3 linked regions of the Arabidopsis thaliana genome follow. The protein of the gene in region 2 binds, or shares a complex with, the protein of the main gene of each other region. Each region holds a gene or a part of one and is shown on either strand. Other genes may lie near its edges.

Region 1 (3,600 bases), on a different chromosome or scaffold from region 2:
AACCGTAAGATTAGTATTGCCTTTTAGTGGTCAGACAAGAAGAAATTTATCAGACAAATGATCACAAGGATGAACAATGATGGAAAGCAATGTGTGACCATCACATTACACACTCTTGAGACTATTTCCCTTCAGCTACTGTTTCCTAAGGATATCCGTAAACAGTGAATATTACAGTTCCACTAATTGTAAACTTACAAGCTCTTCCCATACATACGGTTCTTTTCTCTGTCAACGATGTCCCAAACAAAGCACAACAACACAGTGGCATTGATATTAGACAAAGGAACTGCTAAAGCTAGTGATTTGCAGAAAATAACAATAGGTAAAATCCTCCTCAATGCATATTGTCACAGCTAGTGCCTAAACTAAACCTCAAACTATAAGAACTCAAATTCACAAAACTAGTTTCTTGCCCTCTATTCGATAACCTATTGTCACCAGCAATCCAATCCGAAGTACAGGGCATCTCAATACCAACAACATTTAACAGAGAACCCTTCTTGAAGGCTCAAATTAACATATAAAAATCAATCATTTTGTGAAAGTTTAGTATTGAGATGTTAGTACTACCTTAGAGACATGTTCCAAAGTAACAGCTTCTGGAATTATTGGTGCTCTTAGCCTGACTAGAACATATCCATTGCTTCCTTTCAGAGGAAAACACTGTCCAGGCTCCCCGAAACTCGGAGTTAACATCTTAACCGCTTTGCTATGAACCCGTCTCCTGCTTGTCCCAAACCAATTACGCCCATTTCCAACAAGAAACGGATCCGAATGCCCCATTACAAAAGCTCCACCAGACGCTAACGCATAATCTACTCGACCAAGGCCATCTGCAACATGTTTCCCTATCTCTTTCTCCACTATGTCACGAGCATAAGCCCTCAGTTTATCAATGTTAACATCAGAATCACCGACCTTACCCTTCTTCAACTCCTCGTAAACTCTCTCTAACTCCTCTCTAGACACCAAAGGTTTAGCATTTAACTCATCTACAGAAACCTGTAACCTCTCTGTCTTAGACTCTACCTTCTTCAACTCACTATGTAACACAGAAGATGTGGAATCTATCGTCTGCCTCAATGCTCTTGATTCACTATCCATCTTCTTATCAAGAAACTCAACTTGAACCTGCATCATCTTCGTCGTAGTCTTCACCAAACCATCAACTGCAGAAATCCGACTCTCCAATTCCGAAAGCACCATTTCCGTTTCAATTGGGAAATTCGAAGAAGACAGAGACGAATCCTTCAAAGTCAATTTCCTAATCAACTGAATCAATCCAACAAGTAACAAAAGAGCCCCAAATTGCTTCGCGAATACCCTAACCACTGTCTTCCATTTCCCTCTATCTATCTTATTCCCCTGAGACTTCCGCGTCCGACGCTGCGTGGTGGTTGTATTAGTCCCCGTCGCGGTGGATCCTGATTTCCTTGTCACCGGACCTACGTCGTAGGTGTTGGATCTCTCACCGGCAGCCTCGGCGCGAATCAGATCCTTGTTCGTACCAGCAGACGACTCTCCAATTGCCGCATTGGCATGAGATTCGCTCGGCGGGAAATCAAAATTAGATTTCTTCTCACCGGAGAGAACCGGCGTCCGCCTTATTGTCCTAGGACTAGCGGTGATTGACACCGTTGACGCCGACATGATCTTCAATTTTGAACTACAGAATTCGAAATGCTCTTCCTTATGAATAAATAAACCCTAATTTTGACTACAGAGAGAGAGATTTGAAATGGAAGAAGAGTGAGGAAGTTTATATAGGAGAGAGATCACTACAAAATTCAATTTTGAAAATCTGAATCGTGTGTTCTTCAGTTTCGCCATTTTTATTTGTTTTGATGCTCCTCCATTTTTTTCAAAATTCATTATGATGGGCTTTTAAAAGCCCAATAATGGAAATAAAATGGCCCAGCCCACTTTCACGCCTCGTCATCTTCTTTTATGCTAAGAAGAAACTGTTGCTTCATCATTCTTGCATATCAAGATATCTAGAGTCGAGATAAGCTCATGATTAAAGAAAGTAAATTTATTCACCAGACTATTATTATATATACACAAGGGTACGTTATAAGCATTTATGGAATGTAATTAGATTTGAACCACAAAGAGACTTTTGACATGAAAGTTGATACTTCCTTGTCATTGTTTCTCTTCACACAGTGGTAGTTTTCTGATGGGAAGAAGAATCAGAGATTGGCATTCTTATCTTTGCAGATTCCTTCAACAAATCGAATGAAGAAAAGGAATGTGGCGGGAGAACAACGGTCATATCCTCCTCTGCCAACTCTAGCAAGCTTTCATGTGGTACAACCTGCAAATAAAAACCAATAAGAACATGGGAACACTCAGAATTTGTGATGATAATGATGTTTCTTCCATCTCTTGATTTTTACCTTCTCTGGCTGTGAGAAGGAATTTTCATCCATCACATTGGTAGAGGTAAGTACTGTCTTCTTTGATCCCGAAACTCTCATCACGTTCGGGTCCAATCCAGTTACCAACACTTGCATATTTTCTGAGTTAGCTCCGAAGTTTACAGCCTGCAAATAACAGATTTTGAAACAGTTTTTTAGGGTCAATATCAGAGCTCCGGTTGAATCTTTCACTCGGTTTACCTTTATGCGTATGTAATCTTTGCCATTGTTTTTCCAAGAGATAGCAGATGCAACAAGAGAAGTAGAGTTTCCCTTGAGTGTTGAAGTGAGAAGAGTTGCTCCGCTTGACTCTGCAAAAAACCGTTGAACCCAATAGCTAGGTGTTCCATATAGATGAGAGGAGTTGAAGACTATTGCATCAGGGTTCCACCTGAAACCAATTTAACAATTTGAGATTATTGCCTTATCTTCCTGAGTAACCATTCGAACGGAAAAGTAAGTGAGAGATACCGTCTATCATTTGTGTTCACAAAGAGTGGAGCATAACTTGCCATTTCAACAATGTCACTGCAAAAAGTCATAAGATGTTTAACTTATTTGATGTTTTTAGTTGAGATCAAAGCCTGGGAAGAGAAATTCAAAGGGAACCTATTCTTTTCAAGACCAATGAGAAACGCAGCTTCTGCAAGAGAGGCAAGAAGGCTTCCTGTACCAGCATCTTTTCCAGTAACAGCATATTCACTGACAAAAGCCTGTAAACAAAGTTCACGAGTGAGTAAAACGCTGAAAGCTTCATCTTGTGTTTGTTGGAATTAAGTTTTGTTATAATCTATTACCGCACCTTTGGACCTTTGCGTGAAGTGCGATCAAATTGATGATACATGGAAAACAAATTGCTAGCAGAAGTGTAAATCTGTGACAAAAAGGAAACACTTTTTTCAGGCGGAAGAGAGAACACAAGACAACGGTTACAGTTTCTGTCAAGATAGAAAATTTTACGTGATAGTCATAGTAATCAGCTGGGTGGTCGAGTGGATGAGAGGATCCATCGCAGTTGGAGATGATTTTGATATCTGGATAGGCTTTCTTGATAGCATCATAGAACACAATGTAGTTTCCTGTAAAGTTGTAATCTCATTTAGTGTCAAAGATGCTCAACAAAAATCTAAGTCAAGATGTGATCATAGAGAAATGCAAAACCTCTGTAGTAAGTTTT
Region 2 (3,829 bases):
TCGGGGTGAGGTGAATTTGCTTCGCTGACTTGTTCATGATGCTGTGGCATTGGTTCATTCCCGATCTCCTGGAATTGCTGAACCTCTGCAAATGAAATTTCATAAAGAGTCACATTAAACATCATAATCATTGTTCATGTGATGTTATTAGTTGATTCCAACATGATAATGCAGGCTCATAACAAGAAATAGTTATGTAACAGCAGTAAAAATAATGCAAGTTTAGATACAATCCGCAGCAAAAAAATAATCAGAATGGCTACCTTTTTCAAGAGCATCTTGCAAGGCCAAGAAACCGTTGATGGCCTCTGTTAATGGATCCATTTCATCTGAGTAACGATTGTCCGTGTTTATCGACTCTCCGCCTTCTCCTCCCGCATCATCTTTTCTCATTGACGTTTCCCCATTTTCACCATTGTAGTCCATCATTCTTCCACTCTGCTTTCTTGAGTCAGATTCCAAGCTGGAATAAGAGTTTTCCTTCTCGAAATCGACACTTTCTCCTCTATGTTTCTTACTATTCTCTACACGAATGTTTCCTCCCTGACCTGAACTAATCATTGGCTTCTCATACCTAATAACCTTGGGAGCTCTTGCAACCGTGGAAGACTTACTACTCCGATCATCATCTATCTCTAAATCCATACCAGCTGAAAAACCAACCCCTGCCACAAACCTAGAATCGTAACCACTACTCCCAAGTATATCAAAACCATCACCGCTACTTTTCAACATATTAACAGACCCAACAGATCCCTGACTCTCTTGTTCAACTTCCGGTGACTGAAACTGCATCTGTTTACCATGTGAATGAGCAACACCTGACAACCCTCTCTTCAGAGCTTTACTATTCTCCATATTCGCAGACGTGTCCTTAACAAGATCTCTCCTAATCCTCCTCCATTTTCTCAAGCCTTGTCCTTTCAAAACCGGAGAATAAGCACCACCACCATCACCTGGTGAATCAAAACTCATAGGTTTACCGAGTTCAACAGAATTAGAAGTCGAAAGCAGTTTCACACTCTCATCAGAGCAAGACCCGTTATCCAAACTCCTACCATCATCACAAACGTTGCTGGCACTTTGTTGAATCAAAACATTATCATCAACAGACTCAAGTGCAGAGCTTTCACTCTCCAAATCCATTGACTCCACAAAAAAATCTATCCCCCACCAAATTCACATCGGTTTCAGAAGTAACAGGAGCTCAGATCAATAACCCAAAACCCGAAATGAGGATCCCAAATTCGATCATACACAATCAAAAAGTCAACTCAACAAGCTATACAAATTCATTGGTTCCTTGACGGTTAAATAGAAATATAAAGGTCTAAAATTTCCTACCATGCCACCATCTATCGGATCAAAGAAGAGAAGAAATGATTCCAAAAATGAAAATCCAGCTCAATGGAAGAACACAGATTTCGAATTGAATCGCAAAGTTTTGGTCTTTTTGGAGAAAGGAAGGGTATACAGCAGAGAGATGGAAAAAGGAGGGTGAAAAGTGAAAACCCTAATCCAATGATCGGATTCGCAGATCTATAATTCTCTCGTTCAATGTGGAAAGTTTCTTTGTGGGAAAAAGTTTATTCTTTTTTCCCTCATGATCAATTTTGTTCCTTTTTGAAAATTACGTGTGGGTGGTTGGAATATAACACGTGTCGGAATCGCCTGACCTCTCAGCATCACCTTCTTCATTTTTGACCGTGAGATTGGACACGACATATATATACCGTTAATAATTATCATTTTGGTTATTACAATTTCAGAAAATTGTTGAACTGACCTAAAACATGGGGACAGTGTGAGAATAAACAGAGAATTACAAAGGGTACATACAACCATAAAACACCACAAGTCACATTCTTACATCATCTGAGAGGATTGAGATTAGCACAAACGAAATTGGGCTACTACACACTCATTACACAGACTGAAGAAACATAACAAAAAAAAAGAGAATCAGAAAGGCTTCTCGTAGCCTCGAGCTGGAGGTTGGTCCCAAGCTTGCAAGAATGCTGCACAATTGCAAAGACATAATGAATCTCAGCTCTTTAAGAAGCTAAAATAGAAAAGAGAAAGAATTTGATATTGGTCTTACTCAATGGTATTTCTCCGAGTGACATGAAGATCGAATCATCGTCTGTATTATTTGGTACTTGGTCATTTCCAATAGCTCCCTGAGACGTTTTCAGGATCTGTTAGCAACAACAAACATTCTATGTGACATAAAACTTGACAAGTAGAGTAGGTACCTCTCGGTCTTGAAGGCTAACTGTGTTGTTATTCTGTGGGACACTACTGGTTCCCTGGTTTATTGGAGTAAAGGAATCAAGATACTCTACCATCATGAGTCTTTCATTGTAGTCTGGGACGTCATCGATGCCCATATATGGAGCAGCTTCTTGCCTGTTAGATATGAAAACCCATTAGCCAAAATGTAATAGGTGTGTGTATATATAAGTGTTAAGAGTAGGACTTGGCCGTACTTTCTTCCTGGATCATTGCTGGACTTTACCACTTCTTGATCATCATCCAAATTAATCACTTCTATCTCTTTACCATTGCTCATCCGAGTACTCGTACCAAACTCGAGAGACTTACTAGAACTGCTGATTGAGAGATCAAAATCAACAGCTTGACGAGATTCCTTTATCCCATCATTCACATCCGACGCTCCCCCTAGATTTAGGTCACACATCTTAAACGAAGCAGGAAACAGCTGATGTTCTTCAGCATACCCTGGACCTGTTCTGCCAGTGTGTGTCCTATTGTATGTAGAGTTATTAACCAGACTTTCATGGCTGACCCTTTTTCCAGCAGCACCGTCAATCAGTCTTTTGTTGAACGAGCTTGTCTTTCCTTCTTCTTCCGGATCGCATTGGTTTCCGCTTGTTTTAAACATGTTGAAGCGTTCATTAGCTTCAGAAACTGCCACCCAATCTCTCTGTCTTTTTGATCCCTCCTCCAAGTCACTGCCTTCACCAGGCCTTTTCTCACCTACTTTCCCCACCGAATGTGATCTGTGCAGATTAGGCAATTCTAATCCTGATTCTTTCTCACTGTTATCCCTGAGAATGCTACTGGGAAAAGAATTAGACCTATGACATTTACTGTTCTCAATATATTGAACAAGAGCAAAATCTTCAACTTGGTCATTTTCATCACCAGTACTATCGGCCTTTCCAGATGATTGGCCTCGAGTCTCACATCGATTTTCGGTTTGATCTTCTTCTTCAAGTCCAGAATTATGAGAGGTATCCTTGATATTATGACTCAAATAAAGCTTTGGGCCTTTTGCAGTCAGAGAAGAGCGTGTCCTCGTAGGCACCTTCTCAAATTTACACAGCGTTGCCAAATCAATACCACTCTTGGTGAATGATTCATCAGCCCCACACTGTTGATCAATAGATGCATCTTCACAACGTTGATGGATAGATCCATCTTCGATAGCAGTCTGGTTCTCATCCTCTCCACCATTACCACCAGACCTACCTTTCATCTCTCCTGATCCAGCACTCAAGCTAGAAGAGCCTTCGGATACTTTAGAGATTTCACAATCCTGTACTATATCTTTCCCGGCACTCGAGGAACCTGTCTTAGACTGTGCCTCATCCTGGAGATTGTACTTGTCCAACACAGACTCGGAATCACCTGCTCCTTCACATTTTCTCATAAATTCACCAGAGGCTGACCGCTGAACCGAGCTAGCAATATCTTCAGCAAGCGGCTGCTCTTCTTGATGCCCAGACACAGAGTCGTCACCAGTCTCAGTCTCAAAAGCTTTACTTCTCTCTGACCAAGATCCGCTCCTCCCAAAATCCGAGTC
Region 3 (3,829 bases), on a different chromosome or scaffold from region 2:
ATTGATGTTCAGAAGCTTGAAAGTATTTTTCTTCACAACAGTTTGTGCCAAGGCCCTTGCCCCAGCTCTTCTGATCATGTTGGTGCTCAGGTCAACTTCAACTAACTGATCATGACCTTCAACTGCCTTTGCAATTAAGATAGTCCCTTCGTCTTTGAGTTCATTCTCAGATAAATTCAGCTTTGCAAGAGACTGTTTGGAGGCGATGCAAGCTGCCAAATTTCCAGTGGATTTTACAGTAATGTCGTTACCAGCCAATTCTAGAACTTCAAGAGAAGGGGCGGACTTAAGTAGAGCTTCAGAAAGTGCCTCTGTTCCCTCATCCTCCAAGTTCAGGTAACTCATATAGATCTCGGTTAAATGAGTCAAGACTGATAAAGTCTTGGCCAGGGCAATTCCACCTTCGACTCCAAACATGTTGTCACGAAGATCAAGTTTCTTCAAGTGGCTACAGTGTTCAAGTGCTTCAGCTAGTGCAACACCACCTTCTGAACCAATCCTTGTAGATGAACACCGGAAATCTTCCAAAGATGGACACTCCCTGACAATCTCTGCAATGGCAGTTGCTCCTTCATCTCCTGTCATGTTGTTATGAAACTGAAGAACCCTGATTTTGTCAGTAGAAGGGAGAAGCTCACGAACTGCACGTGCAGCATCCTCGGAAATGCCATCATTCATCAGATAGAGCTCCTCCAAGTCATGCTGAGAATTGATGAGAGAAGCAAATGCCCTAATTCCCTTTTCTCCCAAAGCATTGTCCGAGAGATTCAGATACCTAAGCTTAGAACCCTCTAAAGCAGATGAAAACATATTCATGACTTCAAGCGCTTCAGCCTCTGGTCTTCCTGCAACAAAATCCGAGAGATCCACTTCCGTCAGCTGATCCTTGATGGAAGACAAAACGCTCGCAGCAAATTTGGCTGCTTCAGACCCAAAACTCCTGTTGCTAAAACGGATTTTGGTATAGGAGTTACGCGGGTCAGCCAGAGGCCTCAAAAGGTCGCGTGCCTCCTCTTCTTCAATAAAAGCTCTGCTCCCACCAGATATATCAAAAAAGACATCACCATCCTTGCTCACCTCAACCTCGGATTCTTCCTGTGGACCACGTTTGATGACATCAAGCATGAGCTTGCTGGATTCTTTAGCATAGACGTGAACAGCAGAAGTGCCATCACCATCAGGCTCGTTCTGGAAGTGTTTGTTGGCAGTAGCAAAGGCCAAATCTTCAATGCGCTTGGCGTCTTGCTCAGCCTCTTCAACAGACAAAAGACCGTACTTCCTGGAGAAGATGGAAGGGGTGGTAATGTTCTTGGTCATCCGCTCAACAAGCATGAGACGGGTACTCTTACTCGGTGGCCACATCTTCACTGACAAAACACGGTTCTGTGTGGTTTTCGCTGAATGATCCATTCTACTACTGCTTGGTTTTCTTCTGTAATTCAATACAAGGACAACCATTACTCAATCTGACATAGTATTCCAAGGAAAAAGAGAGAGCATAACATGTAGATCCAATCGAAAACGAAGATGGTGTCGAAGAATCTAACTACATTTCTATTGTAAATCCATTAATTAAAAACTGCATTTTTTAGACAAGGAAACCCTCAAAATCACACTGCAAACGAGAAGAATATATTTCGAAACAAAAAGAAACCCAGAAACATGAGAGAACAATACGACGGTACCTTTTTTTTCTCAGCGGATGGATCGAAGAAATGGGTCTCTCTATACTCTCTCGGACGGAGAAAAAGAAAGGAATAGAAAAGTGAATTCAAAGAAGAAGCGTGAATGAGAAGCAGAGTGAGAGAATCATTGATCTGCGTGCGTGACGATAATGGGAGGCAATGATGCTTTAGTTTATTTTTGAAAATCAAATTTCAAAAATCAAAAAGACAAACATCGGAGAGCCCATCCATGGAGATTAGGGTTTATTCTATCTCCGAAATGACGATTAAGCCCCTACACAACCCTAACCACGAAAGCCCAAAGCCCATTAATAACTAATTTAGAAAGCCCAGTCTTCTTCTTGCTAAAAATTAATAATGGAAAAAAGACAGGGCAGCGCAGCGATGATTAAGGTGACACGGTGGGCTCCCACCACCGCCAGCTGGACTCGCCGACGGTGAACTGTCTCTCTCTACCACACATCACTCCTTCCTTCTGTCCTTTCTTTTTTGTATTTATTATTATTATTCATTTTAAAATCAAAAACCCTTAAATTATTAAATAAAATAAAATAAAAGGCAATAATGGAAACTTTCCTTCTTCTTCACAATTCTTCGCGGCTTCTTTTAGCTTCTAAGCTTCAGAGCAGCAAAAAAAAAACAATGGAGAAGCGCCGGAGATAGATCTGCTTTCTTCCATTCTCCGGACCTTCTCTAGTTCACGAACCAACTTCTTCCACTTTATTCTCGTAAGCTTCTTCCACTTTATTCCTAATTCTTGACTCTCAAGATTCTTGGTACTTGGTAGGTAGGGAGACATATAGAGAGGGTTTAGGTTCTTGATTAGGAATTAGTTCACCTGCTTGAAATTTACTCTACATACGTCTTCTATTTCAAAACCCTATTCAAAGTTACCATTTTTATGCACATCATCATCTTCATTGCAGATTCGTTGGAGAAATGGACTCTCTCGCAACCGATCCAGCTTTCATTGATTCGGATGTATACCTCAGGTTAGGACTTATTATTGAGGGCAAACGATTGAAAAAGCCACCGACTGTTCTCTCACGCCTCTCTTCTTCTCTGGAGAGATCTCTGTTACTCAATCATGATGACAAGATTCTGCTTGGATCGCCAGACTCTGTTACCGTGTTTGACGGGAGATCTCCCCCTGAGATCAGTATTGCACACTACTTGGATCGCATTTTCAAGTACTCTTGCTGCAGTCCCTCCTGCTTCGTCATTGCGCATATCTACATTGATCACTTTCTCCATAAGACCCGAGCCCTTCTCAAACCCCTTAATGTCCACCGCCTTATCATTACAACTGTCATGTTAGCTGCTAAAGTCTTCGATGATAGGTATGTTACTCACTAAACCTGGTATCAAATTCAACACGCAAATAAGTCTTCAATCATAGATTCATTGATCTCTGGTGTTGTGCAGGTATTTCAACAATGCATACTACGCAAGAGTGGGAGGTGTGACTACGAGAGAGTTAAACAGATTGGAGATGGAGTTGTTGTTTACCCTTGACTTCAAGCTTCAGGTAGATCCTCAGACGTTTCACACACACTGTTGTCAGTTAGAAAAGCAGAACAGAGACGGCTTCCAGATCGAGTGGCCCATAAAAGAAGCATGCCGAGCCAACAAAGAGACTTGGCAGAAGAGGACACCCGACTCACTCTGCTCTCAAACCACAGCACGCTGATCGGCAAGGGTAAGATAGGATTATTTTGTGTTTTAGTAGTGATGATTCTTTTGCATGATTGATTGTTTGTGACAATTGTGTGTAGTAGAAAATCTGAAAATTTCTACCAACTCATTCTTTAAGAAGTTGCTATAATATAGTTTCCTTGATACTGGTTAAACTACTAAATAGATCTCTACTTTACATCAAACCGCAACTATTCCATCTGCTGCTGCATTTCACATTAGCGACAGGAGGCTCTGCTGCTTTGCCATTACAAGGAGTATCGTTAATCTTGGGCGGTGGTTAAGCAGCAGTAGCAGGAGCCTCAACATTACCACAAGCACCTGAACCACCACCGCCATTGCTATTCTTAGGGTCAGAGGACGGTGGTGCGATTGGAGATAGTGAGTCCCGTGAGTGGTAGCCCCTGGGATCATCATGTGACTCCTTAAACGTTATACTGATGACCCTC

The links.
Region 1: WIP1 (region 2) and SUN2 share a complex: the UniProt entries of both Arabidopsis thaliana proteins name them as parts of the LINC complex.
Region 3: WIP1 (region 2) and RANGAP1 share a complex: the UniProt entries of both Arabidopsis thaliana proteins name them as parts of the ran complex.

What each region holds. Positions count from the first base shown.
Region 1 is NC_003074.8:3,358,870-3,362,469, forward strand, and holds the start of SUN2 (SAD1/UNC-84 domain protein 2), read right to left. Parts: upstream 1,834-3,600; 5' UTR 1,654-1,833; coding exon 574-1,653; intron 1-573. Other genes in the region: ASD1 (alpha-L-arabinofuranosidase 1), read right to left, coding at 2,162-2,320, 2,403-2,549, 2,625-2,814, 2,895-2,951, 3,033-3,136, 3,226-3,297, 3,384-3,502, 3,585-3,600. UniProt on the Arabidopsis thaliana protein: Component of SUN-protein-containing multivariate complexes also called LINC complexes which link the nucleoskeleton and cytoskeleton by providing versatile outer nuclear membrane attachment sites for cytoskeletal filaments.
Region 2 is NC_003075.7:13,363,054-13,366,882, reverse strand, and holds the start of WIP1 (WPP domain interacting protein 1), read right to left. Parts: upstream 1,601-3,829; 5' UTR 1,147-1,600; coding exon 264-1,146; intron 86-263; coding exon 1-85. Other genes in the region: AT4G26450 (uncharacterized protein), read right to left, coding at 1,963-2,018, 2,102-2,180, 2,256-2,409, 2,490-3,829. UniProt on the Arabidopsis thaliana protein: Mediates and enhances the nuclear envelope docking of RANGAP proteins mediated by WIT1 and WIT2 in the undifferentiated cells of root tips.
Region 3 is NC_003074.8:23,322,689-23,326,517, reverse strand, and holds the start of RANGAP1 (RAN GTPase activating protein 1), read right to left. Parts: upstream 2,040-3,829; 5' UTR 1,686-2,039; intron 1,433-1,685; 5' UTR 1,411-1,432; coding exon 1-1,410. Other genes in the region: CYCP1;1 (cyclin p1;1), read left to right, coding at 2,625-3,025, 3,111-3,375. UniProt on the Arabidopsis thaliana protein: GTPase activator for the nuclear Ras-related regulatory protein Ran, converting it to the putatively inactive GDP-bound state. Plays a role in spatial signaling during cell division.